7 linked regions of the Sus scrofa genome follow. The main gene of each other region encodes a partner of the protein of the gene in region 2 in a complex. Links are inferred from orthologs where the notes say so. Each region holds a gene or a part of one and is shown on either strand. Other genes may lie near its edges. The genes, in order: CMC1, cytochrome c oxidase assembly factor 1 homolog, SMIM20, surfeit locus protein 1, ACAD9, ECSIT and NDUFAF1.

What was found.
Region 1: cytochrome c oxidase assembly factor 1 homolog (region 2) and CMC1 share a complex: the UniProt entries of both Homo sapiens proteins name them as parts of the MITRAC (mitochondrial translation regulation assembly intermediate of cytochrome c oxidase complex) complex. The link is inferred for Sus scrofa from reciprocal best matches to the Homo sapiens genes COA1 and CMC1.
Region 3: cytochrome c oxidase assembly factor 1 homolog (region 2) and SMIM20 share a complex: the UniProt entries of both Homo sapiens proteins name them as parts of the MITRAC (mitochondrial translation regulation assembly intermediate of cytochrome c oxidase complex) complex. The link is inferred for Sus scrofa from reciprocal best matches to the Homo sapiens genes COA1 and SMIM20.
Region 4: cytochrome c oxidase assembly factor 1 homolog (region 2) and surfeit locus protein 1 share a complex: the UniProt entries of both Homo sapiens proteins name them as parts of the MITRAC (mitochondrial translation regulation assembly intermediate of cytochrome c oxidase complex) complex. The link is inferred for Sus scrofa from reciprocal best matches to the Homo sapiens genes COA1 and SURF1.
Region 5: cytochrome c oxidase assembly factor 1 homolog (region 2) and ACAD9 share a complex: the UniProt entries of both Homo sapiens proteins name them as parts of the mitochondrial complex. The link is inferred for Sus scrofa from reciprocal best matches to the Homo sapiens genes COA1 and ACAD9.
Region 6: cytochrome c oxidase assembly factor 1 homolog (region 2) and ECSIT share a complex: the UniProt entries of both Homo sapiens proteins name them as parts of the mitochondrial complex. The link is inferred for Sus scrofa from reciprocal best matches to the Homo sapiens genes COA1 and ECSIT.
Region 7: cytochrome c oxidase assembly factor 1 homolog (region 2) and NDUFAF1 share a complex: the UniProt entries of both Homo sapiens proteins name them as parts of the mitochondrial complex. The link is inferred for Sus scrofa from reciprocal best matches to the Homo sapiens genes COA1 and NDUFAF1.

What each region holds. Positions count from the first base shown.
Region 1 is NC_010455.5:14,680,844-14,685,057, forward strand, and holds the start of CMC1 (COX assembly mitochondrial protein homolog), read left to right. Parts: upstream 1-1,414; 5' UTR 1,415-1,583; coding exon 1,584-1,602; intron 1,603-1,735; exon of another isoform or gene 1,736-1,923; intron 1,924-4,214. UniProt on the Homo sapiens protein: Component of the MITRAC (mitochondrial translation regulation assembly intermediate of cytochrome c oxidase complex) complex, that regulates cytochrome c oxidase assembly.
Region 2 is NC_010460.4:51,219,337-51,223,558, forward strand, and holds the start of cytochrome c oxidase assembly factor 1 homolog, read left to right. Parts: upstream 1-1,422; 5' UTR 1,423-1,643; intron 1,644-4,222. UniProt on the Homo sapiens protein: Component of the MITRAC (mitochondrial translation regulation assembly intermediate of cytochrome c oxidase complex) complex, that regulates cytochrome c oxidase assembly.
Region 3 is NC_010450.4:19,699,703-19,703,841, reverse strand, and holds the start of SMIM20 (small integral membrane protein 20), read right to left. Parts: upstream 2,801-4,139; 5' UTR 2,684-2,800; coding exon 2,575-2,683; intron 1-2,574.
Region 4 is NC_010443.5:272,967,687-272,971,805, reverse strand, and holds the start of surfeit locus protein 1, read left to right. Parts: upstream 1-1,319; 5' UTR 1,320-1,334; coding exon 1,335-1,406; intron 1,407-1,498; coding exon 1,499-1,550; exon of another isoform or gene 1,551-1,740; coding exon of another isoform or gene 1,741-1,825; intron 1,826-2,405; coding exon 2,406-2,539; intron 2,540-2,623; coding exon 2,624-2,706; intron 2,707-3,856; coding exon 3,857-4,048; intron 4,049-4,119. Other genes in the region: SURF2 (surfeit locus protein 2), read right to left, coding at 1-72, 899-1,053, 1,139-1,216. UniProt on the Homo sapiens protein: Component of the MITRAC (mitochondrial translation regulation assembly intermediate of cytochrome c oxidase complex) complex, that regulates cytochrome c oxidase assembly.
Region 5 is NC_010455.5:71,405,937-71,409,436, forward strand, and holds part of ACAD9 (acyl-CoA dehydrogenase family member 9, mitochondrial), read left to right. Parts: intron 1-180; coding exon 181-287; intron 288-1,075; coding exon 1,076-1,176; intron 1,177-1,895; coding exon 1,896-1,974; intron 1,975-3,500. UniProt on the Homo sapiens protein: As part of the MCIA complex, primarily participates in the assembly of the mitochondrial complex I and therefore plays a role in oxidative phosphorylation.
Region 6 is NC_010444.4:70,157,563-70,160,762, reverse strand, and holds part of ECSIT (evolutionarily conserved signaling intermediate in Toll pathway, mitochondrial), read left to right. Parts: intron 1-1,982; coding exon 1,983-2,400; intron 2,401-2,631; coding exon 2,632-2,855; intron 2,856-3,200.
Region 7 is NC_010443.5:129,967,279-129,971,279, reverse strand, and holds the start of NDUFAF1 (complex I intermediate-associated protein 30, mitochondrial), read right to left. Parts: upstream 2,801-4,001; 5' UTR 2,659-2,800; intron 1-2,658. UniProt on the Homo sapiens protein: As part of the MCIA complex, involved in the assembly of the mitochondrial complex I.

The sequences.
Region 1 (4,214 bases), on a different chromosome or scaffold from region 2:
GTCATTCATGGCAACACTGTGGAGGCAGTCCTGAAACAGTGTTAGATAATATTGCATTTATTTCTCACAACAACCTCATGAATTAGAAATGAAAGTCCAGAGAAACATTGAAGCTTATCCAAGTTAGAAAGCTAATAGGTCATGAAGCAAGATTTAAGTGGAGGTGCCTAGGTCTCTGCAAGTTTCTGCATTTCCCATGTTGCCCTTTTGATGAGGAAGATTGAGTTTAATTACTTGTGTGTGTATGACGTGTTCTTATACCTCACCTCATCACCTCAAAAAGATTTACTTTCTAGATTAAATCTTTTGCCTCCAGAATGAATCTGGTGTGTTTCTAAACACATTTATAAAACATACAGGGAACAGGACCTGATTTCCTGCCTGGCTGAGTGAAACATTAATTCCATCTTGGCGCCTCATCCTACAGCTGTAATAAGGGCCGTTATGCCCAAATAGGCCCTTAAACGGAAGACCTGCTGAGCAGAGACCCACTTTCCCAGCCCTGCTCCGCAGCGTCAGCTTCTCTGCCAACTGACCAGGAGGAAGCAGCAGCAGGGGAGGAGGGCCTGCAGGTAGGTGGGGACGGGATCACTTTGAAAGCCTCAAAGCCCTAACTGCGAAGCAGCAGCTGCTCCTTGTTTTTCTAACATCTGTCCCATCTGTGCCCTTGCGCACCTGACCCTCCAGAGGCTCGGGCTAGCTCAACGTGGATGTGACAAGGGAGCATTTCTGGAGGCTGGCTGGTGAGTGGATATGAGCTTACTTACTACCCAGAAAGTTTCTTCTACTGGGAAGAGGGCAGTTGGGGCTCTTGAGGAGGATGTCTATCGCTTCCTTCATTTTGCTCGCATATACAGCTTTGATGGACCGAGTGGGGATTTGCAGCATCACCCAAATGGGACTACACGTCATGAAGATGTTATTTCACCAGACAGAGGTATCCTAGCGCTCACTTTCTAAGTGTAACCTCCAGGGAAGGCGCAGGCTTCGATCCGGAGAGAAGTAAGGATGCAGCACTCAGTACACGGGTGCTTGCTGCACAAGTCGTCAGGGCGTATTGCTTATTTCTGGGTCCCTCACCAACACTGTGCGTCTGGAGACTTAGGGACCTTACTTTTACCCAGTTATTTCCTCCTTGTATTCAGAACCGTGGCTGGAACCTAGCAGGCATGAAATACATACTTATGAATGAATGAACTTTAAAGAGGAAAAATGAAGGAGCCGGCAGGTTCGTTCGGTTCGGAGGCAGGCTTGGAGGGAGGGGCTTAAACTTGTACGGAGCCACCCAGAGAAGCGCGAGTCCTCAGGCCCCGAGCGCGCCTGCGCCTTCCAAGACGGCCACGCCCCCTCCCAGGGCTATCGCTCGGTGAAGTCCGCCCACTCTGGTTACCGGGTTGTGGGTGGTGTCAGGACGGTGCAGGCGCAATGAGCGGCGGAAGTAGTTACTGGGAAGTAAGCAAGCGGCAGTTTCCCTTGGCGTAAGGCTCCTCCTCCCGCCGCGGGTTGCTTCACTGCACGTGTGCCCGGGCTCCGCCCCACACTGCCAGTGCTTTGGCCGCTTGGGCGCCTCCTCCCGCGCAGAGATGGCGCACGACCCCGCAGGTACGGGGTGGGAGGCGGGGGTTGCCGAGCCGCGGCTGGCGTGTGGCGGGCTGGGGGCGGGGGTCGAGCTGGGGGAGGCGCGGCGCCCCGGCGGCCCCGCCCCGCCGCGCCCGGGCGCCTGGCTCCGCGGCCCTAGGGCTATGGTTCGGGGAGCGGCGCTGTTTGGCGTCGATCCTCTTTTCCGATTGTAGCTTGCAGATAGTTTTCTTCTGGACACCTGTCCTCTTTTCGCCCATTTCAAGTATCTGTAGTCCAACCTAACATCATTGATCGGAGCGAGTGCCAGCTTGTTTGGAAAACGCCCCCCAAGCCCCGCTCTTTGTGAGTTTGACTTTCGTGCGTACCCCTAGGGCAGTTTGTATCCGTGTTGTCTGCCCCTCGGCATCTCAGTTTAGAGGGTACCCAGAGCTGCGTGTCTAGAGGGAATGGTGATTAGCTTTAGATCATTCCCTTCACTCTGGATGTGAAAAGTCCAGCCAGTGGGAGGAGGAATGACCTCAAACATTTGGAGACTCAGAAATGACAATCACTTTAGTGAGCTCAAGGAGAAGGAGATAATCGTGTAGCTGACGAGGCTCGTGGCTGATTGCTGGTGCGGCAGAGTCTGCATAGAACTCAGTCCATTTCAGTGCATTTCCCGTCTGGGTGGTAGACCATGCCGCCTTTACGTCCTTATGGATGAAACAGATACTTGTTGCGTGCACACGGTATGTCCTTCCTGTTCTAGGCCCTAGGAGTCTGGTATATAGGGCAAAGGATCCCTGCTCTATCTAGAGCTTGTATTCTAGTTGTAGAAGAAAGAAGACCACCCACAGTACTTTTATAGATTGTGATAAACATTATGAAGAAAATAAGCAGTGACATAGGTAGATGGTCAAGAAATGGTTAAGAAAGGACGACTTAAGGTGGAATGGTCAGTGAAGAACTCTAGGAGGAAGTGTCAAGTGAATTGGAATCTGAAGGACTATGGGAAGCAGTCCTGTAGAGGTAATGGAAAAGCATACAGCTGGGCCGAGGTGCAAATGCTTAAACGATGTGATTGAATCATTTCTATCAGAGTGGAGGAGATCCATAAGGAGAGATGTTGGGAACGTACACAGAACCTAGATGCTGCACGGCCTGAAGGCCGTATTGGAAAGCATTAGGATTTTTCCTGATGTTATCAAAGGCCTCTGGAGGCTTTTAAAGAAGGTGGTGCCGTAATATGATTTATACCTTTCCAACCCCCTCAGCAGTTGGTAGCATTGTGGAGCGGGTTTGAGCAGAAGATTAGGAGTGGTAGCAGTAGCCCAAACAAACCCATTGGTATATAGGTCTGGGTTGTTATTAGGAAAAAAAATGGAAAGAAATATGAAGCATCAGGAGATGTTTTGGAGGAGAAATTAACAGGACTTACTGTTGGTTGAATAAGGGTGGTGAGGGAGAGAAGCCTGAAGGGTAATTCCTAGGCTAGTTACTTCAGGTGGGTGGCCTGTGATGGTCAAATCTAACATGATGATCACTGGAAACTTCAATAAAAGCAGGGATGGAAACAAGATTGAAATGGAAAGTAAGAAAGTAGAGTCCGCCAGTAGGAAGATTCAAAAAAATTTTTTGTGTGTTTTAAATTCCAGAATACAAATGTATTGATATCAGCTGCTTTTTTTTTTTTAACTTTGTTTTCGTTTGGTTCATGCTTTGATATTTCTTTTGCTTTTCACAGTCCACAGTGGTATATGCCCATACCAAGTAGAAGTATTTCCAAGTAGATGAATAGATAGTTAGGCCAAATGAAGTTTGTGTAGTAAAATCTGTTTCTCATTGGTTTGTGTTAGATTTTTAAAAATATTTGTACAGGAGTTCCTGTCATGGCGCAGTGGTAAACAAATCTGACTGGGAACCATGAGGTTGTGGGTTCGATCCCTGCCCTTGCTCAGTGGGTTAAGGATCCTGCGTTGCCGTGAGCTGTGGTGTAGGTCCCAGACGCGGCTTGGATCCCGCGTTGCTGTGGCTCTGATGTAGGCTGGCAACTACAGCTCCGATTCGACCCCTAGCCTGGGAACATCCATATGCCGCGGGAGCGGCCCAAGAAATGACAAAAAGACAAAAAAAAAAAAAAAATTTGTACAAGTTTGGTCTTCATTTGGCAGCAGCTTTTAACTAGCTTTGTAGGGTCTATTTTTCTTAAGAAACTTTGCATTACTTTTGTATGTAGTTGTATTGAAATAATTTTCTGTTTTGTTAATGTAGAAGTAATAACAGCGCTCCTTGTAAGCTTATCAGCCATAATTTTATCACTATTTTACCTGACAATTTGAATGTAGAGAGAAAGAGCTGGAGAGTCCAACAAAACACACAGGAAAAGTGTCTGAAGAGAGAGATAAATTATGAAAAAGAAAAAAATGAGGGAGTTCCCATTGTGGCTCAGTGGTAACATACCCAACTAGTATTCATGAGGACACAGGTTTGATCCCTGCCCTTGCTCAGTGGGTTAAGGATCAGGTGTTGCCGTGAGCTGTGGTAGGTTGCTGTGGTTGTAGGCCAGCAGCTGTAGCTCCAACTTGACCTTTAGCCTGAAAACCTCCATATACCGAAGGTGCAGCCCCAAGAAGCAAAAGAAAAGAAAATGCTAG
Region 2 (4,222 bases):
CTATTTCTTGCGGAAGTTTTTATAGCATGCATAATATGTATCTATATCATACATAGTATATGTTTATAGTCAAATTTTCTTTTCTGATGGGAATGTGATCAAGAGTTTGAAGACCATTGCTTTAGACTGCCCTTAATTAGTCTGGTTATGGAACACATCAAATCTAGGTGACTCACCTGAGACTCACTGCTTTGTGGAGGAAAGGTACTTGGGTGGTAGACTGGAACCTGGGACCCTTTACCAGAGTGCTTGCACCTGAACAAATAACTCTTCCAAGACCAGGAAGAAAACTATAAGGGACTAAAAATAATTGCATGCATGTGGCAGTTGGGGGCAATTATGAACCAAAAGATATAAAGAGGCCAAAGCCCAACTACTGGTTCAGGGGTGCCAGGACCAAAAGCAGTGGACTGCACATGATCCCTGCACAAAGTACCACCAAAGAAGTGGGCAGACCATTTCAGCTATGCCTCCTGCTCAATTCATGGACGGGGCCTCTCTTGTTAACTCATTTAAGGACTCAAACAGCGAGCAAGGGCACCTGTTTCTTATTTTCCTTATAGTCTTGCTTGGAATTTTTGGCCTCTTAGCAATTTCTGTTGATTAGAGTCTAGGGACTCAGGCGGGTAACACTGGGACTTCACGCTTAACGTTAAAAAAGTAATCATGCATAGCAGTGAGGACAATGGAATGGTCAAGATGAAAATAAGGTAACTGGCCTTTATTGAACACTTTAACAAAATGCCAGACTATTCTGAGTGGTTTATATTGTGATAAGAGGAGTTCCCGTTGGGGCTCAGTGGTAATGAACCCGACTAGTATCCATGAGGATGTGGGTTCCATCCTTGGCCTGGCTTAGTGGGTTATGGATCTGGCATTGCCTTGAGCTGTGGTGTCGGCCACAGAGGAGGCTTGGATCCGGCCTTGCTGTGGCTGTGGTGTAGACCGGCAGCTGCAGCTCCAGTTCCACCCCTAGCCTGGGGATGTCCATGTGTGTGGGCCTAAAAAGCAAAAAACAAAAACTATATATCCATCCTTATGAGAAATCTATTAAGTAAATTATTATTATCGTACTACTAAAATCCGAGAGCAAAGACCACTACATTTTTTTCTTAGCACTGCATTCCCTGGAGCACAGTAAGCAGTTCATAAATATTTGGTGAATTAAAAAAAATTTTTTTGCCAAATTTCTCCGCCAAATGGGGCAAGATGGACTTGAGGGCTAGAATGGGGCTCAGATGGCCCGTGGTTCTGCATCCTTGGATGTGAACCCAAGCGCCGATCCCTGCGAGGAGCAACGTGAACCAGAGGTTTAAATTTCCTCGGCAGCCACTGCGGGACTGAATGTGTGTTGAGGGCTCATGGCGCGCAGAAAACAAAAAGCGGGGATCTGAGGAGACAAGTCCCCTCCCGGCGCGGGTCCACCTGCAGAGACGCCAGGCACCAACCTGCACCTCGCTCGCCCGGGTCCGGGGTCCGCCAGCGGCGGGCTCGTCCCGACGCTCTAGCCCACGGGGAGGCGACGCCGGAAGTCTCGACTGCTCTCCGCGGGGCGGGGCCGCCCGCCGGCCTCCGCGCTCCCCCCGCCCCGCGGCTCCCACCGGACGTCCGGGAGGAGCCCTCCCGCTCTCCGCGGCGGCGTGGTAAGCCGGGAGGCTGGCACTGCCCGCGGAGGGAGTCGGGTCTCGGCCGCCCCAGGAGTGGGTGTTCCTGCAGCGCCGGGGGCCGCGACCGCGTCCCGGGTGGGCTGTGGCCAGGGGAGTCCCCTCCGGGGTCACCTCCGGGTTGTCACCGGCCTCGACCTCCCTCCGTTGCAAGGTTGGCACCTGCGGGGCCCTGGTGGGCTCAGCTCCTCGCGACGCTGTAAGGTGCCCCCTCCTGTGTGTCTCACCGTGGTCTTGCCCTGGGGTTTCGTTGAGCGTTCCCGGGAGCACATTTGTAAAGAAGTGGACCTGGGCCCTTTGTCCGTGGCCCCAGTTTGCAGCAGCCAGAGGAGGACCCTGCCTAGATGGCTGTAGAAAAGAGCTGTTTGGCTCAGTGGTCATAATACCTTTTGGCCCCGTCACGTTTGAGCCCCACACGGGGGCTGACCATAGAAGTGAGTTTCAGTGTAAGTGAGTTTCAGGTGTGTGTGTATGTATGTGTGTGTGAGAGAGAGGAATTTTAAAATTCACAAAGATTCTTATATTTTGAAATTTCCTTTTTTTTTTTTTTCCGTCTTCCCCTAATTCCTCCTCATTCTCACCTGAGTACTGCTCCGCTTCCCTTTTATTAAAAATAGCAACTCTTTACTTAGACTTTATACATTTAAAACACAGATCTGTGTTCATCCTCTGCTTAAAGTCTTACTGGCCTCCCCATTGATTGAGGATAATAGAAATTCCTTAGGCTGGCTTCAAGACCCTGCAGGGCCTTGCTTCTGATGAATTTTTCGGTCTTATCTCCTTTCACCAAACACACAAACACCCTGTATACCACCCCCGCCGCATGCCAACCTGCAGTCATTTCGTCTCTTTGGATATGACAGTTTTATAATGATTTACCCACATTTGGAAATTTATTTTTCTATTCAGTCAGAATTTATTGAACCCTGATATTGCCAGGCACTGTTTTAGGAGCTGAGGATATAATGGGAAAAAAAAACAAAAGCACACCCCAATCCAGTCTTTTTTTTTTTTTTTTTGCTTTTTCTTTTTTTGCTTTTTAGGGCCGAAAGTGTGGCATATGAAAGTTCCCAGACTAGGGGTTGAATCCAAGCTACAGCTGCCAGACTACGCCATAGCCACAGCAACACCATATCTGAGCTGCATCTGTGACTTGTACCACAGCTCCTGGCAATGCCAGATCCCGACCCACTGATCGAGGCCAAGGATCCAACCTGCATCCTCATGGATACTAGTCGGATTCATTTCTGCTGTGCCACAATGAGAACTCCCCAAGCTACAGTCTTTTTGGGGAAAAACAAAAAAACAAACCAGATTGAGATATAGGTCACATACCTAGAACTTTACAATATACTTTGGTTTTTCGTGCATTCACAAATTTGTACAAGCAATACCACGATCAATTTTGAAAAGTTTTTATCACCCCCAGAACAAGCCCTGTGCCCATTAGCAGTCTCATGATTTCCTCCTTACTCACTCCCACTCCTCCCCACTCTTAGCCCTAAGGGGCTACTGATCTACTGGGTGTATATATTTGCCTATTCTGAACATTTCATACAATGAAATTGTAAACTATGTGGTCTTTCTTGATTGTCTTTTTTCACTTTTAACAATCATGTTCATCCATGTTATAGCATGTATCAGCACTTCATTCCTTTTTTATTGCTAGGTAATATTTCATTGTATGGATATACCACCATTTATCCATTGGTCAGTTATGGACATTTGGGTTGTTCTGGCTGTTATGAATAACGCTGCTGTGAACATTTATGTGTACAAGTTTTTGTGTCATCATCATGATTTAATTTCTCTTGGTATATAGCTAAGGGAATTGCTGGGTCTCATGGTAACTCTGTGTTTAACATTTTAAGGAACTTCCAAACTGGTTTTTAAAGGAGCTGCACTGTTTTATGTTCCTGTCAGCAGTGTATGAATCTTCTCTGACTTTTTCAGGTCCTTGCCAATACTTGTCATTATCTGTTCTTTGGTTTTGTGTTTTCAGTTCTAGCCGTCCTGGTGGGTAGGAATTGGTATCTTGTTGCAATTTTGATTTGCATTTTCCTGGTGGTTAACGATGTTGAGCATCTTTTCATGTGCTGCTGGCCATTTCTGTGTCTTCTTTGGAGAAATGTCTGTTCATATCATTTGTCCATTTAAAAATTAGGCTGCTTGCTTTTTATCACTGAGTCGTAAGATTTCCATATATACTCTAGATACAAGTCCCTTATATATATGACAGTCTTGTGGAGTGGTTCCTTTAGATAGAAAGCACATGAGATTAATTACCACTCTTCTGGAGACATGTTAGAGGTCAGTGGGTAATTCAGAGTGAGTTGAACTAAGCTGCTGTGTGTGCAAGACCAGGCCCAGCAAAGTGTGAAGAACCTGTGAGCAGCATTTTAAGATTTGGAATGAAGCAGGGGGAAGAGTTTATATAATTTGTTAATTCTTGATTGAGTGTTGTCTTTGCCTTGTTGATCTGTAGGAGTTCTTCCTATAGAGGTATTAACCCTTTGTTAGATTTGGGGTGAATATTTGCAGTCTATCTGCCTGTTAAA
Region 3 (4,139 bases), on a different chromosome or scaffold from region 2:
GTTCCCATCGTGGCGCAGTGGTTAACGAATCCGACTAGGAACCAGGAGGTTGTGGGTTCGATCCCTGGCCTCGCTCAGTGGGTTAAGGATCCAGCGTTGCTGTGAGCTGTGGTGTAGGTCGCAGACACGGCTCGGATCCTGCGTTGCTATGGCACCGGTGTAGGCCGGCAGTTATAGCTCTGATCAGACCCCTAGCCTGGGAACCTCCATATGCTGCGGGCGCGGCCCTAAAAGGACAAAAGACCAAAAAAAATTAAAAAAAGAAAGAAAAGACAAAAAATAAAATAGTTTAGAGTAGAGTAGAATAGAATAGAATTAAAAAATAAAACAGGGAGCTAGTCACACAGCAGCTACCACAAAGGGTTGTTATGAAAACCAAATGGGTTAATATATATCAAGTGCTTGCAAGAGAGCTTTCAATAAATATTAGCTATTTAGTATTATTTACTTTTTTAAGGAATCAGTTATGACTCTCAGATAAGAGTTGTTCAAATCAATTAAAATTGAACCAGAAAAGCAGGCAGCTGTAGAATGCCTTACAGTTAAAAATGCAGATACTGGAGCCACATGCACTAAATGTTCACTTTAAAGGCCTCATTTGTCTATCTCAAGGTGACTCAGGCAACCATAGACTCTGGACTACTCCCCATCCCGCCTTTTTTTTTTTAGGGCTGCACCTGCCAGATATGGAAATTCTCAGGCTGGGGTCGAACTGGAGCTGCAGCTGCCAGCCTACAGCACAGCCACAGCAAGTGCCAGATCTGAGCTGCACCTGCGACCTATGCTGTATCTTGTGGCAATGCTGGATCCTTAATCCACTGAGCAAGGCTAGGGATCAAACCCTCATTCTCATGGATATTAGGTTCTTAAACAGCTGAGCCACAATGGGAACTCCCTGGACTATTCCTTTAAGACTGTCATTGGGAGACACAGCACAAACCCACCTTGATCATCTGCCCTAGAGCAAGGGTTTCTCAACCCAGCACCACTGGCACCACTCGCATCTTGGGCTGGGTAATTCTTTGTTAAGGGGTGGGGGCTGCCCTGTGCATTACAGAGAGTTTAGCAGCACCCTGGCCTCTATACACTAGATGCCAGGAGCACACTTACTCCACCCACCCCACCCATTTTGTGACCAGCAAAAACGTCTCCCGATAGAACTAAATGTCCCCTGGGGGACAAAAATCATCCCCAGTTGAGAGGTACGGCTCTAGTCTTCAGAACTGAAACTTTTCAAGTAGGATCCAAAGTAGATTCCCTTGTCCCAGCTTCAACTCTAGGGGCTATAATACAATAGCCCGGGGCAAGGACCAAGTAAGAAGGGATAAAACAGAGAGATAACGCAGGGCTTCCAAGGTCCCATGTTTACCCCCACGCGTGGTCACGCGTGGTCACGCGTGGTCACGCGTGGTCACGCGTGGTCACGTAGATAGATAGGCTGGAAGGCAGGGTGCAGAGGCCATTTCAATCTTGACTGATGAAAAGAAGCTACAAGAAATTTGAGTGTGTACTTAAACCGCTCTGCCTCAGAAACCAGATGTTGTAGCATTTGTAATGGTCAGAGCATTTATACAGCACTTTTGCCTTCAAATCACCAAGCTCACAGCCTCCACTGATATTCTCAAGGGGCAAGGTTGGCCCTTTTCCATCTTCTAGATGATTCAGGTTTCCTGGAGAACAAAATGAGCCTCTAATGCCTAATATTTTCTCTCTGACAGATGGTTTCAGATGTATCAAAGTGCTAATCCTTGCTGAGGTATAGGTCTCAAGGAAGGGGAGTGTGGCTTTTAGAATGATAGGACTGGAATGATTAAGGAAGAAAATTACTCCCAGGATATTCACCATTGTCATGTGAGTAACCAGCTTAAAATGAAGGAAGATAGCAGAATCTGAAGGAAGATTTGAGGAGAAAGAAGAGGAAAAACCCAAAACCTCAGGTTAACAGTTTAGCTCTGAGACATTTCTGATCAAAGACATCTTTGGGAGCGGAAATGAAGTGCAATAAACACATCTGCAAGTTCAGGACAATTAGGGCCCACCTCCCTCCCCCAATATCACCTTCCCAGCTTCAGTACAAGGAAGAAATTCTGGAGACAGAGGCCTGGGTTGGAATACGTGTCTTGCCGCTAACAGCTGTGTGACTTTGGGCATGTTACACAACCTGAGTCTCAGTTTCCCCGTCTGTAAGACAGCAACATGTACCTCAAAAAAAGGTGTAAATTAAAAGATCCTATGTGCATTAACGAGACATAGAAGCCTGCAGTGAATGTTAGCTATGAATATTAACTCGTATTTAGTGTTGACCTACGACGTGCAGACTGCCTTTGAGTCTCAGCAGAGGCTAGACGGTTTTATTTTAAGATACTACAGAAACACATAACTACTGATGAAGATAGTGAGGGCCCAAGAGGTGGAGTCACTTGTCCACGGTCACAAAGCTGCACACAAAGGATTCGAACCCAGGTCTCCCTGACTCGCGAGCCAAGCTCTGCCCAAGGCCCCACGTGGAGAGGATGGGGAAAGAGAGGGAGTCACTGGGACCAGGGCACCGCGTGGTGGTCAGAGGTCACTCACGGTACTCCTCCAGCCGCATTAGGGGCCGGAAGTAGATGGGGTAGAAGGCGGCGCCGATCAGGGTGATGAAGCCACCAAAAATGAGCGCGGTGCGCAGATTCGTGGACATGGCTCTGAACCGGGCCTTCGCTGACCCGCTGAGGACACCGAGCTCTCGCAATCCTGGCTCCTGCCCGCTGGGTCGTGACCCGGCTGGGAAGTGGAGAAACGGCTTTTGCTTCCGGGCCTTGTGGGCGGGGCTAGGAGGCGGAACAGGGGCGGGAAGAGGTTGGGTCAAGGGTGGCACCGAAGGCGGGGCTTAGGACTGGGTGGGGCTAGGGCAGGGGGTGGGGCTGGGGCGGGGGTGGGACTAGGGGAGGAAGGGGCGAGGCGTGTAACCCCACGCACCGCCTCCGGGCGGTGCCTGGCAGCGCCTGGCTGCCTGGCTCCGGAGGGCGAGCGCCAGCTGGGAGAATGGAGAGTGGAGCTTTTATTGCTCTTGATCTCAGTTCCGCCCCCTGCCCTAAACCGGGTTCACCTCTCAGCCGCTCCACCCACACTCTTCTGACCTCGTTACCACTCCCTCCTTTACCAACCAAACTTCCTTCTTCCACCACTGGTTTGATTTTCATGACTCCACCAAGAGGTGGATGCTCTCTAGGGCTCATTGATTTAATCCACATATCTTTTACAGATGAGGAAATCCTGTCTTGGCTGCATGATTTAAACAAGTTGCTTGGCCTTAAGGGCGGTTTGAGGGGATTAGAGACAAATGCAAATCGCCTGACCCTGGATGGCCAGCAGGGGCTTCTGAACCAAGGCTAGCTTGGGAGGAATATTATTGCAACATCCAAACTACAAGTAAATCTTTTCTGACTCTGATCTTCCATGCTCTCCTCTCTCCCTCTTCCCTTTGTTGGATGTCAGGATTACGAATGAGGATGGGGAATAGAGATCCGTGCAGGGCAGGGAGCCAGCAGCCAGTTCTACTAATGGGACCTTGGGGCTCTGCCTTGTTGCCTGGGGTGGAAGCCACTGAGGACAGATCTGCTTCCTCTTCCTGTGATTGCCATCCTTCATGTTTCTGGGGGGGGGCTGTGTCAGTATATGACCCACCCAGCGGTACTGGACAGCTGAGACTAAGATTCCCTGGGCTTTCACTCAATCGTTTTTAAATAAGAATGATACCAGCAGCTGGGGGCTGGGGAACAAATCTTGACCCCAGCATCATTATTTAGTGCAGAAAAGATTTACGATCTTTCGGAAATGGTGTGGAGGTCACAGGTTTCCTCTTTTCTTTGTAGTTTTGTAGTTGAGTCAAGCTACTATGTACCTCTGTGGTTCCAGAAGCATATAAATCAGGTATTCAATCTGTCAGCAGATTTATGGACTGTCCGCTGTGCCCCAAACATCAGGCAAAGTGCCACGGGGGACACAAAGATGAATAAGACATGACCCTTGCTCTCCAGGATCCTGTCATGTGGATGGAGGGACAGGACATATACATAAAAAGACAGCTAATGACCCGACACAGCCTGTTGCTGATGAGTGATGGAGTCTTGGGGGCTGCAGAAGTTCAGAGGAGG
Region 4 (4,119 bases), on a different chromosome or scaffold from region 2:
CGGGTGTGCCTCAGCACATGCTCTGGGGCCTTGTTGATGTGCCGCAGGGTGAGTTTGCAGAACAGCTGGTGCCTGAGGGGACATTTCACAAGCGAGGTTCCAGACCAGTGGCTGTCTACTGTGGCTGCTCTTAGAATCACCCCGGAGAGTCTGAGCGGGGGAGGTCTACCATGTGGCTTGGGCACTGGGAGTCTTTTTTTTTTGGCTGCACCCACGGCATGGCGAAATTCCTGACCTAGGGATTGCAGCCATGCCACAGCAGTGACAATGCCAGAGCCTTAACCGTGAGGCCACCAGGGAACTTTGGGACTCTTATAGAGCTTCCAAGCACTTGTACTCTGAACTGGGGGGGAACCCCTCCCCCAGACAGTGGCCTCTCAATAGGCGGAGCCAGCCTCTCCAGACTGCTCCAGCATGAGAGAGGTGCGCTGGTGATAGCCTGGGAAGGTGTGCGACAGTGGGAGCATCTGCCAGCGCCCTCTTCATTAAGACTAGTATTGTCCACCGGGTGCTCTCAGCTAAATCAAAGTTCTTTTCAACTAAAGATAAAATGCCAGCGTTCGAACCTCAGGTGACAAAGCACAAGCGCTCCAACCCTCTATGAAGCAAAGAGGCCCAGGAGACAAACCTCATCTTTACAAAAAAGCAAACATGCACGGGGACCGGGCCTCGCCTGAGGTCCCAGGTGACGCCCAGCTCCAGGATTCCCACCTGGATCTCGGGGGCCCTAACTCAAGGGAGGGTGGGCGCCGCGGAACTGGTGGCGTCTTAGAGGAGCGCCCACCTAGCGGGGAGGGGTCGGGGCTGCGGAGTCTACCCGGCCCTAGCCAGACTCAGCACTAGGAACTGTCCCACCCCGGGCCTCCCGGGCAGGGCCCGCCCCGCCTCCGGCTCGTACGGGTTCTTGGTGCTGGGCACGATGTGCGGCTCGAACTCGGCGTAGTCGAAGGCCGGGGAGGCACGCACCAGCCGCCGGTACTTCTTGCCGCGGGTGTAGACTTGGAGCTCGGGCAGGCGGCAAGGCAGCTCATGACCCGTCAGAGCGCACCTCACCTGCCGGCGGGAGAGCGGGGCGGTCAGGGAGGCCGGGCAGCCGGGGTCCCGGGGGCGGTCTGGGGGTCCCGATCCCGCCGCCCACCTTGAGGGCGCCGGGCTCCAGCCGCAGACTCGGGTGCTCGCGCAGGAAGGCGACCACTTCGGCCGGCGGCTCGCTCATGGTCCCACGCGCGCGGACCCGCAGCTGAGCGCCGCTGGACCACGTGGGCCGGGGGCGGGGCCGGGCGGGCCCCGGAAGCAGACGCCTCCGGGCGCCGGAAGCGCGCGCGCGCGGGGCGATGGCGGCGCGGTGGCTGGGGCTGCGTGCGGCGGGGCTGGCGCAGGTGCTCCGCGCCGCGGGCGCGGGGCGGGTGAGCGGGGCGGGGAGCCCGGGCGGGGGGCGGCCCGGCTGGGGGGCGCGCCCGGACTGGACGAGCTCAGCCGGCCCCTCGCGTCTCCGCAGGCCCCGGCCCGCGCCGTCGGGAGGAGCGTCCTTGGGGTCATCTCGCGCCCAGGTGAGGAGTCGTTTGGCACCTGGGAAAGCTGCCCTGCACTTTGCCAGGGGTCATGGGGTCACGATGAACCCTGGAACTGCCTCCTGCGCCTCGGGGACAGGCCCTGGCCACGCGCCGGCCCGTCCCATGCGGCAGTCCGACGCCCTCGGCGGAAGACGTGCGGTAGTTGCCCAGACACCTCCTCGGACTAATGCGGGGCCAGCCCAAGGCTGAAACCGTCCGGGATCCTGAAGAAAAGCACAACCAGTCGCGACGGTTTGCACGTTGCCTCCCGGGTACAGCAAAGGGCAATCGTGTGTGTGTGTGTGTGGAGTGCGGTGCACATTTAAAGGTCGCAAGCCTGCTCCAGACCAGCTTGTTTAGCGGCCCCAAACCCATGATGCTTTCCGTTGACGGCACTCGCCCGCTGAGTGTCTAAAGGCACTTTCTGTGTACCTTTTTCGAGGTTTAAATGCTGAGAGCTCTGTAAACCACTGTCCTGAGTGTTTCACGCTCTCTTCAGAGCACTGTGGCTGGTGGACCTGTGTGGTCGGCGTGATAGGATGCATCTTAGCGGGTTCTTGTGCGAAAGGCACGGGTTGGTTATGTGAATCGGTCAGGGTCATGGTTGGTGGCAGAGCCAGGACTGAATGCTAGATCTCCTCGTCAGTGAACGTCCGCTGAGTGGGGGTCAAGGCCCGGGTACTGGGTAGGGGCAGGGCTGGGCTGCTGGTTGGCTCCTGACTGCACACGGTGGCCTGTGCCCTCCTCCCGGCCCATGTTCTCTTTGGCAATAGTGGCAGTTTTGAGAACTCGGAGCCTCCACTTCTTTGTCCCAGGCCTCTAGCCCCATGCCCATGTTGTGACATCTCCTAGGGCTGGCCTGGAGGCCCAGCAGGAGTGGCAGCTCTTCAGCTGAAGCGACTGCCGCAAAAGCGCACGATGATGCCTTTCTCCAGTGGTTTCTACTCCTCATTCCTGGGACTGCCTTTGGCCTGGGGACATGGCAGGTAAAGCCTGACCTCTGGCTCTCCTGGCCCTGAGCCCTTGACCCTGCTGCCACCCGCTCGAGCTAATGCTCTGTGTCTGTGTAGGTCCAGCGTCGGAAGTGGAAGCTAAAGCTGATCGCCGAACTGGAGTCCAGGATTATGGCTGAGCCCATCCCGCTGCCCGCAGAGTGAGTGTATGTGGCTGCCCACCAGGGCTGCGCTGGCCGGAGGTCACATGCCTTCCTGACCCTGATGGGAGCTCTCACATCAGTGGGCCTGCTAGGCTTCCTGTTGTCACTCGACTGCCCTTGTGACACTGCCTGACATACACAGGAAAATTTTTGAACCTGGGATTCACCTTTTTTTCCATGCCCTGTGCAGCAAGGGTCCCTCGAGGATGGCCTCTATAGCAGTCATTCTTAGCCAGCGCTAGGGTACACGTATCTCTTGACAGGAGAAGTACTTTGAAAAAGTGCCCAGTGAGTCTACAGCCCTGTCCCCTCATTTTAATTTTTTTAATTTTTATTTTTTGTCTTTCTGCCATTTCTAGGGCCACTCCCGCGGCACATGGAGGTTCCCAGGCTAGGGATCTAAGCGGATCTGTAGCTGCTGGCCTACACCAGAGCCTCAGCAACACGGGATCTGAGCCGCGTCTGCAAGCTACACCACAGCTCACGGCAATGCCAGATCCTTAACCCACTGAGCAAGGCCAGGGATCAAACCCACAACCTCATGGTTCTTAGATTCGTTAACCACTGAGCCACAACAGGAACTCCCCTGTCCCCTCATTTAAAAGCACCATCCAGAGTTCCTGTTGTGCCGCAGCAGCGAGTCCCACTAGTAACCATGAGGATGTGGGTTCCATCCCTGGCCTTGCTTGGTGGGTTAAGGATCCGGCATTGCCGCGAGGTGTAATTTAGGTCACAGGAGAGGCTTGGATCCCACGTGGCTGTGGCTCTGATATGACCCCTAGCCTGGGAACTTATATGTGCCACGGGTGCGGCCCTAAAAAACAAAAAATAAAAGCCCCATCCTAGAGGAACAGCTGTAATCAGAATGCTTTCCGCTCAAGACAGCAAACAGTGGGTCCCACTTGGCTTGCGGATGTGGCTTTGGCTCATGTGTTTTATCCCGTTCATGCGGGAGTCCATCTCTAAGCTTTTCCTGAACACTTGCTCCGTTGGGCAGCCCAGACCCACATTCCCATGTGGCATCAAAGGCCCCGGCTTCCTCCTTCAGAGGGCACCTCAGTCACCGTGGGCTTCATGGCAGATCCAAAGGGTTCGTCTTCCTGCCAAACCTTGCGCGGCCCCAGCTCCGTTTCTCCTCTCCCTGTAGCCCACTGGAACTGCGAAACCTGGAGTACAGGCCGGTGAAGGTCAGGGGGCACTTTGACCACTCCAAGGAGCTGTACCTGATGCCAAGGACCATGGTGGACCCGGCCCGGGAGGCCCGGGACGCCGGCCGGCTGTCGTCAACCGCCGAGAGTGGCGCCCACGTTGTCACTCCCTTCCACTGCACTGACCTGGGGTGAGTGGGGCTCAGGGGCCGACTGGCCTGTGAGGCGTTCATTTCCTTGGCTTTGCTTCTCAGCCCCCAAC
Region 5 (3,500 bases), on a different chromosome or scaffold from region 2:
AAGGTACACAAAAATGCACTTTCCAAGAGATAAGATTATGGGTAATTTTTGTTTTCTTTGTGCTTTTCTGTATTATGATTTTTTAAAATGGTGAGCTGGCTTTATTCAGTAGAGCCATTTGCCTTTTCTGGGAGGAATTTGGGGCTAGAGCCTAAGTGCACTGGCCTGTCTCTTCTCTAGGTGGCCTGGGCCTCTCCAGCACCATGTATGCGCGGTTGTGCGAGATCATCAGCCTGGACAGCTCCATCGCTGTGACCCTGGCGGCACACCAGGCCATCGGCCTCAAGGTCAGGGGTTTGGGTTTCCAGAGTCTCTAGTTGGCGGCGGGGCAGCAGACTTGCTCAGTTTGACCAAGGATCGGGGAGGCCCGAGGTCCTGCAGCCTCGCCTGGCAGTGTCCAAGTGCAGCCTTGCTGTCTGGAGCTCAGTGCCCTTCGGTGACGTGGTCCTTCCGTTGAAACCTTCTGTCCCCATCACCTCTGACCCATCCTTCAAGGCCCAGGTCAGATGCCACTGGAGCCTGCCTTCACCGTGGGCTGGGAGTGACCCCACCCAGCTCTGGATTTGCTCACGGGGGTCTGAGCTCGTGCCCCTGCTATTGTGCCTGTTCCCCTCACCGTTCTTGGCTTGGAGCATTTCAGGGAGGTCCAGGGGTCCACCGCTCATTCCTCTGATTGTTTTTGCTCAACATAGTAACCAGGGTGGGGAGGAGCTGAGTGTGCAGCAGGCTCGGCCTCACACTCGGTGCAGCTGCTCCTCTCGACGCTGCCTGAGCACCAGGTGTGGCTCCAGCACCCCTGGCCCCCAGCCACGCAGCTGGGAAGTGGAAGAGCTGCTGGGAAAGCCTGAGTCTGTGCCGAAGCTGTGCTGGTGCTGCTACCCTGGACTGTGCCCTTGGGGCTCCCTGCTAGCGTAGCTCCCCAGACTTGCCAGCAGCTCCCCATTTTCCCCCCAAGGGCAGGGGTTGCCACCTCTTAGCTGTCAACTCTTGCATGGAGGAAGCATGTTCCAGAAGGGGCCGTGTTTCACATGCTCCTTTCTCCCCACCACTGAAAGCAGCCTGTGTGTTTTGTCAGGGCATCATCATGACTGGCAGCGAGGAGCAGAAGGCCAAGTACCTGCCCAAACTGGCGTCTGGGGAGCACATGGCCGCCTTCTGCCTGACGGAACCAGCCAGGTGAGCCCAGGCGGCAGGGGCAGAGGGCGGGGGCCATCCATGGCTTTGGTTGAGCAGCTGGTGGCCGGGGTCTTCCCTCCCTGAAGGCTTCCTGGAGTCGAGTCAGCAGCCTTTCTTGCAGGGTCTCTTCATGGTCTGTTTCTCTACCTTACTTCTCCAACCCGTGACCTTCACCCACAAGATAATGGGCCTGACAGTCCCTGTTCAGTGGCTTTCCTGTACTTTGCAGCATCCCTTCCCTACAGTAATGCATTTAGGCCTCTATGAAGGGCGTTGGTATCGTCCCCACTTCACAGCTGCAAATGAGACTTAGGGACATGGTGTGATCCGCCCACAATCTCACAGCTGCCCTGGAACTCAGGGCTTCCAACAGCAGGGCTATTACCTGGCCCCTCCACCCTGCGTCCCCCACCCCAGAAGCTGGGCCCCGGGCACCCACCCTCATAGGAGCGCCGAGCCTGTTTGAGCCCCATCTCTGGGGTTAACCTCCCCAGTGTCACCACTGCTGCCGACCTCACAAAGCCTTCTTGCCATATGCTGTAAATCAAGTTTTACTGGAATGTGCCTCTTGTTTACAGATTGTCTGTGGCTATAAAGCTGAATATATTTATTATCTGGCCCTTTTTTTTAAAAGTTTGCCAGCTCCTTCCATTTGGGGCTGGAAACCATCCTTCTCGGTTCCCAGCATTACCCCTCAACCATGGGTTTCTGCCCCGTAGTGGGAGTGATGCCGCCTCCATCCGGACCAGGGCCACACTGAGCGAAGATAAGAAACACTATGTCCTCAATGGCTCCAAGGTACAGCTCCACAGCCTCCAAGACTGCATCAGGGTCGCCGTCATGACCGTTTCCACTGTGCACAGGGTCCCTTAACTGTCACCCTTGTGGGGTGCTGCTCCTTTTTAGGGGAAGGAACTGGCTGAGAGGTCTTGTCACCACCATCACCCTGTCTCCTTAGTGGTGGGATGGGAACCAAGCCATCTTGGCTCCAGAGTCTGTGTGCCTCAGTGCTGCCACCCACCCCAGAGCTGCTCTTGTGTGTCTGTTTTAAAATTTCTTATTACATGGATTTTTTAAACAATTTTTTCCCATTATAATTGGTTTACAGTGTTCTGTCAATTTTCTGCTGTACAGCAAAGTGACCTAGTCTCACACACAACATACACATACATTCCTTTTCTCACATTATCCTCTATCATGCTCCATCACAAGTAACTAGATATAGTTCCCAGTGCTATATAGCAGGATTGCATTGCTTATCCATTCTAAAGGCAATAGTTTGCATCTGTTAACCCTGATTCCCAGTCCACCCCACTCCTCCTCCCCCTTGGCAACCACAAGTCTGTTCTCTAAAGTCTCTAGGTTTCTTTCCTGTGGAAAGGTTCATTTGTGCTATATTTTAGATTCCAGGTATAAGTGATATCGTATGGTATGTGTCTTTCTCTTTCTGACTTCACTTAGTATGAGTCTCTGGTTCCATCCATATTGCTGCAAGTGGTATTATTTTGTTCTTTTTTATGGCTGAGTAGTATTCCATTGTGTATATGTACCATACCTTCTTAATCCATTCATCTGTCAATGGACATTTAGGTTGTTTCCATGTCTTGGCTATTGTGAATAGTGCTGCAGTGAACATAGGGGTTCATGCATCTTTTTCAAGGAAAGTTTTGTCTGGATATATGCCCAAGAGTGAGATTGCTGGGTCATATGGTAATTATATATTTAGTTTCCTGAGGAACCTCCATTCTGTTTTCCATAGTGGTTGCACCATTTTACATTCCCACCAGCAGTGTAGGAGGGTTCCCTCTACCCGACATCCTCTCCAGCAGTTGTTATTTGTTGACTTGTTATGATGGGCATTCTGACAGGTGTGAGGTGGTACACATTGCTTCTTAGGGCCACCCCTGTGGCATATGGAAGTTCCCAGGGTAGGGGTCATATTGGAGCTGCAGCTGGCGGCCTATGCCACAGCCACAGCAATGCCAGATCTGAGCCACGTCTGCGACCTATACCACACAGCAACGCTGGATCCTTGACCCACTGACTGAGGCCAGGGATCAAACCCACATCCTCCTGAATACTAGTTGTGTTCTTTACCCTTAAGCCACGGTGGGAACTCTGATTGTTTTTCTTTGTTTTGTTTTGTTTTTTGTTTTCGTTCACTTTTTTTTGGAATTTGAAACATGTAAAAGTTCAGTCCTGAACTTCCATCCCCTGTCTCCTGGCACAGTGTGTCCTCTGTTACATCGCCACCTCTGCATGGCATCGTGATGGGTCACAGTGGCCCCATCTCTGCAACTACTGTACATTTAAAAAATGATTCT
Region 6 (3,200 bases), on a different chromosome or scaffold from region 2:
GGAGTTCTTATCATGGCTCAGCAGTAACAAACCCGACTAGTATCCATGAGGATGTGGGTTTGATCCCTGGCCTCATTCAGTGGGTCAAGGATTCGGCATTGCTGTGAGTCCTGGTGTAGGTCGCAGATGCATCTTGGATCTGGTGTTGCTGTGGCTGTGGTGTAGGCCAGCAGCTGCAACTCCAGTTCAACCCCTGGCCTGGGAACTTCCATATGCCACAGGTGCAGCCCTTAAAAAAAAAAAAAAAAAAGAAAAAGAAAAAGATATATTGTTGGAGTTCCTGTTGTAGCTCACAAGAAGTAAATCAAATGCATCATAGACCTGAATGTAAAATACAAGACCAGGAGTTCCCTGTTGTGGCTCAGCGGTAATGGACACAACTAGTATCCATGAGGACTTGGGTTCGACGCCTGGCCTCACTCAGTGAGTTTAGGATCCAGCGTTGCCATGACCTGTGGTGTAGGTCACAGAGCAGCCTGGGTCCTTCATTGTTGTGGCTGTGGTGTAGGCTGGCAGCTACAGCTTTGATTGACCTCTAGCCGGGGAACTTCCATATGACACATGTTTGGCCCTATAAAACAAAAAAAAAGATGTACTATTGATTCATTAATGTTGAACTCACACCAACAGCACTATAACTTGTGCCTGAGGTTACCTACCATATGTATTTTCTCTGTAGGGAACAGCAAGGCCCTTCTTGCACATAGGAACATTAGGGAGGCTTGGGGGCCTCTTTCAACAGCAAAACCACCAAAACAAAAAGACACAGAAAATGTGCACTAAATCAACCTCTAAAAGGACACTTGGAGTTCCCTGGTGGTCTAGTGGTTAAGGATCCAGTGTTGTCACTGCTGTGGCTCGGGTCACTGCTGTGATGTGGGTTCAGTCCCTGGGCTGGGAACTTATGCATGCTGTAGGTATGGCAAAAAAAAATAAATAAAATAAAAAACATAAAAGGACATTTCTTGACAGCATGGAAGCCAAAACAAGGAGGCTGAGCATTGCCTTGTTCAATCTAAGCTGGGAATGTAGGCTTTAGGCAACTTGAATTTTCTACCCCACTGTATGCATCTGCAAATAGCTGGAAAGCACCAAGACTTTTGGCTTTGGGATTATAGGTGAATTTAGCAAGTAGGCAGATTTGCAAATATGAAATAAATTTTGTCATCTTTTTCTTACACAAATGGGAACGTGCCGTACACAGTTTCGCAAAACCTTGCTTCTTTTAATGATACAGGTTAGAACTCACTCCAGGTCACACAAGACCTCCTCCTTGTGCCTACAGCAGTAGGTGCTCTTTGTCCTGATTCACTGCCATTTGCTAAATTATTTCCCTGCTAATACACATTTGGGCATTTCCACTGACCCAGTGGGAAGCACAAAAGTCATTTTGCGCAGGTGCATTTAGAGATGTCTGGGTTTTTTTTGTTTTGTTTTGTTTTTTTTCTTTTTGTCTTTTTGCCATTTCTTGGGCCGCTCCTGCAGCATATGGAGGTTCCCAGGCTAGGGGACTAATCGGAGCTGTAGCTGCCAGCCTACGCCAGAGCCACAGCAATGCAGGATCCAAGCCGCATCTGCAACCTACACCACAGCTCATGGCAACACCAGATCCTTAACCCACTGAGCAAGGCCAGGGATTGAACCCGCAACCTCATGGTTCCTCGTCGGATTCGTTAACCACTGAGCCAGGACGAGAACTCCCTAGAGATGTCTGATTTAAATACCAGGTGCAGGATTGCTGTGTCAGAGGGTGTTTGTTTGTCTTCATGGTGAATATTGCCAAATTGCCTCCAATGGAGTTTTACCATTACTGCTCACACTTTGTAGTGGGGCCTTATCTTGGCTCTGTAACCATAGCACCACACTTCCTTGGTGGCCCTTGGGGCTGCCCACTGGCACCTTTCCCAGCAAAAAAACCAGCCCAGCAGCGTCCCAGGGGCACTGGGAGGCACCAGATTCCAGCAGTGCCTCTCTGTCTGTAGGTGCCACTCCAGGCAGCACACGGCCTTCACTGCAGCACAGCCATGCACACCTTTGACTCATCGCTGGTCCCGCACCCACCCAAGCCCCCGAGGAGGCCCATCAAGGCCCTGGCACTCCACGAGGAGCTGTTTAGGAAGGCACCGGATGGGACACGGGAGAAGGCGAGCTTTGTGCAGGCCATACAGGACTTTGCGCAGTACAACGTGCACAAGCGGGGCCATGTCGACTTCATCTACCTGGCCCTGCGCAAGATGCGGGAGTATGGCGTCGAGCGGGACCTGGCTGTCTATAACCTGCTGCTTGACATCTTCCCCAAGGAGGTCTTCCGGCCTCGCAGCATCTTCCAGACCATCTTCTACCACTACCCACGGCAGCAGGAGTGCGGGATCGCTGTCCTGGAGCAGATGGAGAACCACGGTCAGGCCAATAGGCCAGCTCAGGCAGCTGGGGGTGGGGGGCTGCCTCCCTCTCCAAGGTCTCGGGCCCTCCATGGCTTTTTGGCACTAACTCCTCTCCTCCTCATCTCTCAGTCTGTCTGGCTTCCTCCCCTGCCCACCCCACCCCGATCCCTTGCTCATCCTCAGCTCCCATCTTCCCTTCTTTCTTCTGCCCCGTCCCTGAGGCTCTGCCTGCATCTGCCTGTCACAGGGGTGATGCCCAACAAGGAAACAGAGTTCCTGCTGATTCAGATATTTGGACGCAAAAGCTACCCCATGCTCAAGTATGTGCGCATGAAGCTGTGGTTCACCCGCTTCAGAAACATCAACCCCTTCCCTCTGCCCCGGGACCTTCCTCAGGACCCCGTGGACCTGGCCAGGTTGGCCTTGCGGCACATGGAGCCCGACCTCAGCGCTAGGGTCACCGTCTACCAGGTATCCACTCCTGTCCACACCCTTGGCCACCTCCCTGTAGTGGAGGCCCCCTTCGGTAACCCCAAGTGATTGTGGTGAGACAGGGGGAAGTTCCCTGGCTGAGCCTCTGCTAGATTCCAGGGCCCTCAGAACAGCCTGACCTCTGACGTCTGCTCCTGCCCCTCTCCCCACACTCACTGTATTCTGGCCCTGGCCTACCTTTCTGTGCCTTAAGCGATCTGTCAGTTCCCTCCTCAGGCGTTTGTGTTCACTGTTCCCTCTGCCAGGAACACCCTTCCCCAGGGACTTCACCTCCTCAAGTCTGAGCTATTCTTTCCCTCCCTGTCCTCCACAGAGCCAAACACT
Region 7 (4,001 bases), on a different chromosome or scaffold from region 2:
TTTTTTTTTTTTTTTGTCTTTTTAGGGCTGTATCTGTGGCACATACAGGTTCCCAGGCTAGGGGTCAAATTGGAGCTGTTGCCACCAGCCTACGCCAGAGCCACAGCAACGCAGGATCCAAGCCATGTCTGCAACCTACACCACAGCTCATGGCAACACCAGATCCTTAACCCACTATGTGAGGCCAGGGACTGAACCCGCAACCTCATGGTTCCTAGTTGGATTTGTTAACCACTGAGCCAGGATGGGAACTCCACCTGCCTCTTGTCTGTAGAAAAACTGTACCTTCCTGGGCCTCCCCTGAATTCCAAAGAGTAAATTTAATCAGGGAAGTAAGAAAATGCAGGAAAAAAGGGAGTTGAGCAAGACAAAATAATAATAATTTAGCCATTAAACAAAGTCACAGACATGGCTTGGATCCCACGTTGCTGTGGCCAGTGCATAGGCTGGCAGCTGCAGTTCCAATCTGACCCCTAGCCAGGGAACTTCCATATGCTTCAGGCACAGCCCTAAAGAAGCAAAAAAAAAAAAAAAAAAAAAAACCACACAAAGTCAAAGACCTTTAGTTCCTCCTCAAGGGTTATAGATAATATTATGAGCCATGCCCTCTGAGCTGTTTTTGCAGATACCGAAACCCCTACCATGTAGAAGTTATCTGCCTACAAGCAGGTAGACCCCAGATAGGTTGGCGACAGGTTAATGATGTTGACTCCAGATTACCTCGCTACCAACCAATCAGAAGAATGTCCACAGCTGATCACATACCCTGAAAGCCTTCCAGGAGTTAAAACCTTCCCCTGAAAGCCTTCTAGGAGTTCTGAACTTTTAAGCACTGGCTGTACTGGACTCTTGGTGCCTGCAATAAATGCTGCACTTGCCTTCACCACGACCCAGTGTCAGTAGATTGGCTTTACTACACTGGGGCAAACAGACCCAAGTTTGGTCAGTAACAACTACAGGAATAGTAAACCCAACTTGTTCAACTATAGGCATGTTCCTAGTGGCCTCTAACTGGAGGACACTGACATTGATCTTCCTTGATATTCTCATGAGAAACTGTGCATACATCTCACAGCCCTTACATACTATTAGGATCTTGCTTTTATCTGTCTACCTAACTAACCTGACCTTAAGCTTACTGACTATGGCTTGAACATAATTGATGCTCAATGTTTGCTAAAATAAAAGGAAAATGTGGGTGTTCTCATCGTGGCTCAGTGGTACCCAACTAGTACCCATGAAGACTCAGGTTCAATGCCTGGCCTTGTTTAATGGGGAAAGGATCTGGCGTTGCTGAGAGCTGTAGTGTAGGCTGCAGACGCAGCTTGAATCTGGCATTGCTATGGGCGTAGTGTAGGCCAGCAGCTGCAACTCAGATTCCACCCCAGCCTGGGAACTTTCATATGCTGCACCCGCGGCCCAAAAATAAATAAACAAATGAAAATGTGTGAACAGTATGTTTTCAAATGGACCAAAAATTGCAGGGAACCAGGAAAAATAACAAGAGTTGACCTCAGGTCTTGGAATCATAGGTAATACTTAAATTTCCCTTACTGACTTGTTCAAATGATTTTCTCTCTCCACACACAAAAATTTGGGAAATAAGTGATAAAATGGAATTTGTACAATCAAAAAATGATTCTCAGAGTTCCTCCATGTCACAGCAGCTTAAGGATCTGGCCGTTGTCACTGCAGTCTGCTGTGGCTTGGTTCCATTCCTAGCCCAGGAACTGCTACATGCTTCAGGTGCAGAAAAAAACACCAAAAAAAAAAAGATTCTCATGAACACCATGCTTAGGCTACACTACTGAGTGACAAATAATGAGGAATTAAAAATGCATGTATACTGGAGTTCCCTTCGGTGGCTCAGAAGTTAACAAACCCTACTAGGATACATGAGGATTCAGGTTCCATCCCTGGCCTCACTCAGTGGGTTAAGGATCCAGCATTGCTGTGAGCTGTGGTGTAGGTCACAGACTCGGCTAGTATCTAGTGTTGCTATGGCTGTTGCATAGGCCAGCAGCTGTAGCTCGGGTTCCACCCCTAGCCTGGGAACTTCCATTCGCTGCGGGTGCAGCCCTAAAAAAGAAAAAGGGGAAGAAAAAAAAAAAAGCATATACGGTAACGATATAAGTATAAAAATGTAAATGTACAAACAAAAAAGATTTGGGGGTTAAAAAAAGGCTTACAGCCATGTGCAGGGTGATGGAATTATGAGTACCATTATTCACCCTATTTTCCAACCCCTCAGTAGTGTTATTACTTCTCTAATAATATAACGTTAGTTATGAATATTTTGTTTCATATTTTTACCAATAAACATAGTCAAAATCACTAACTGGATGATCCTGGGCTGAAGCTGGTGAGTTTTCATGGCAGCATAAACCATGAAGCTAAAAGCAAGCAATCTTACTGAAGACTGTATGTCCAGCGCTTACCACGTGTCAGAAACTATTCTAGGTGTACTTTAACTCCTCACAACAACCAAAAGAGGGGCTACTATTCCAATTGCAAAGATGAAAATGGAGGCTCTAAGACTAAATCACCCGAGGTATACAACTACTAAGCGGCAAACCTATCCCCAAGAGCCCCGGCGTTTAGCTCCTGATCCAAGACCGGGAGCGGTCTGGACATTGTCACGGCCCCTTCATTTCTCACCTGCTAGGGCTGTGTCGCCCTCGCAAGTCCCGACGCTGCAGCCCTCCCTCGCGACACCCCAGAGTGAACCTCCGCTGTGCTCCTGGCTTTTCCCCGCCGGCTACTCCACTTTTCCTGTGTAGGTCCATCTGCTTTTCCAGTCCGCAGGGAAACTGGGCCTTATGACACTAGAGTTCCGGTCAGGTACGCAGGTCGGGGGAAGAGTAATAAAGATCCCGAAGCTTAGCGAAATGAGGGTTATGGTCGACTAGCTTCCCAAAGGACCCGCTCCTCCTGCCCTTCCTGATCTTTTCTGCCCTATGTCAGAAAGTGGGGAGAATTTAGAGAAAATTTTCGCCTCCCCTTCCTGCTTTCCGCCTTCATGCTGCAAACTTCATCCTGTATCTTTCAAGTAGGACCCAGATATTGCTAATAACCTTGGCCCCCAAGAGCAGCAGCCCAAGAGCAGTCCACGGCCACAGAGCAGCCCAAGAGCAGTCCACGGCCACAGAGAGCTACTTCTCCTGGAATTAACCCCCAAAGAATCTTGGGAGACCCACCTGAAACTTGAACACCAACTCTCCTACCTGCCCTTCCCCAATCCTGCCCCGTGGGGTCGCCCACTCCCCAGGGTTTCGATTGTATCTTGCGCACCCCTCTGTTTAAGCACTTTCAACACTTGTATCTTAATTATTCATTCACTTCTCACTTCCTCCGCCATGCTGTGAGCTTCTTGGGTCCAGAAAGTACTCTTCTTCCTGTCCCCAGCACCTAACATAACGCTGGCAGGAATTAAGCCCTCAGCATGAATTCGAATGAATTGTAACCATTGGCTGTTAACACCGTTCTCCAGAGTACCTTCCAAGTCCTCACCAAATACAATTGCCTTTTCCAAGTTTCCTCTGTCACTCTTTTCCACTCTACACCTTTTCTGTCTTCAAATTTTTCTTTGACTTCTCCGGATTCTACTACACTTGCCTGGCTCTGCAACCTCCTTGAACTTTTTTTTTTTTTTTTTTTTTTTTTGGTCTTTTTGTCACCCACGGCATATGGAGGTTCCCAGGCTAGGGGTCAAATTGGAGCTGTTCCTGCCAGCCTATGCCAGAGGCACAGCAATGCCAGATCCGAGCCACGGCAAAGTGGGATCCTTAACCCACTGAGCGAGGCCAGGAATCGAACCCACAACCTCATGGTTCCTAATCGGATTCATTTCATCCTTAAACCACTGAGTAAGACCAGGGATCAAAACCACTATGGGAACTTGTCCTTGAGCTTTTTCTAGCTGCTTACTTTACTCTGTACTCCCACAACCTTAAATGTGGGTTTGTCTCCTAAGCCCAGCCTGTGCCTTCCTCTTTTCTAGT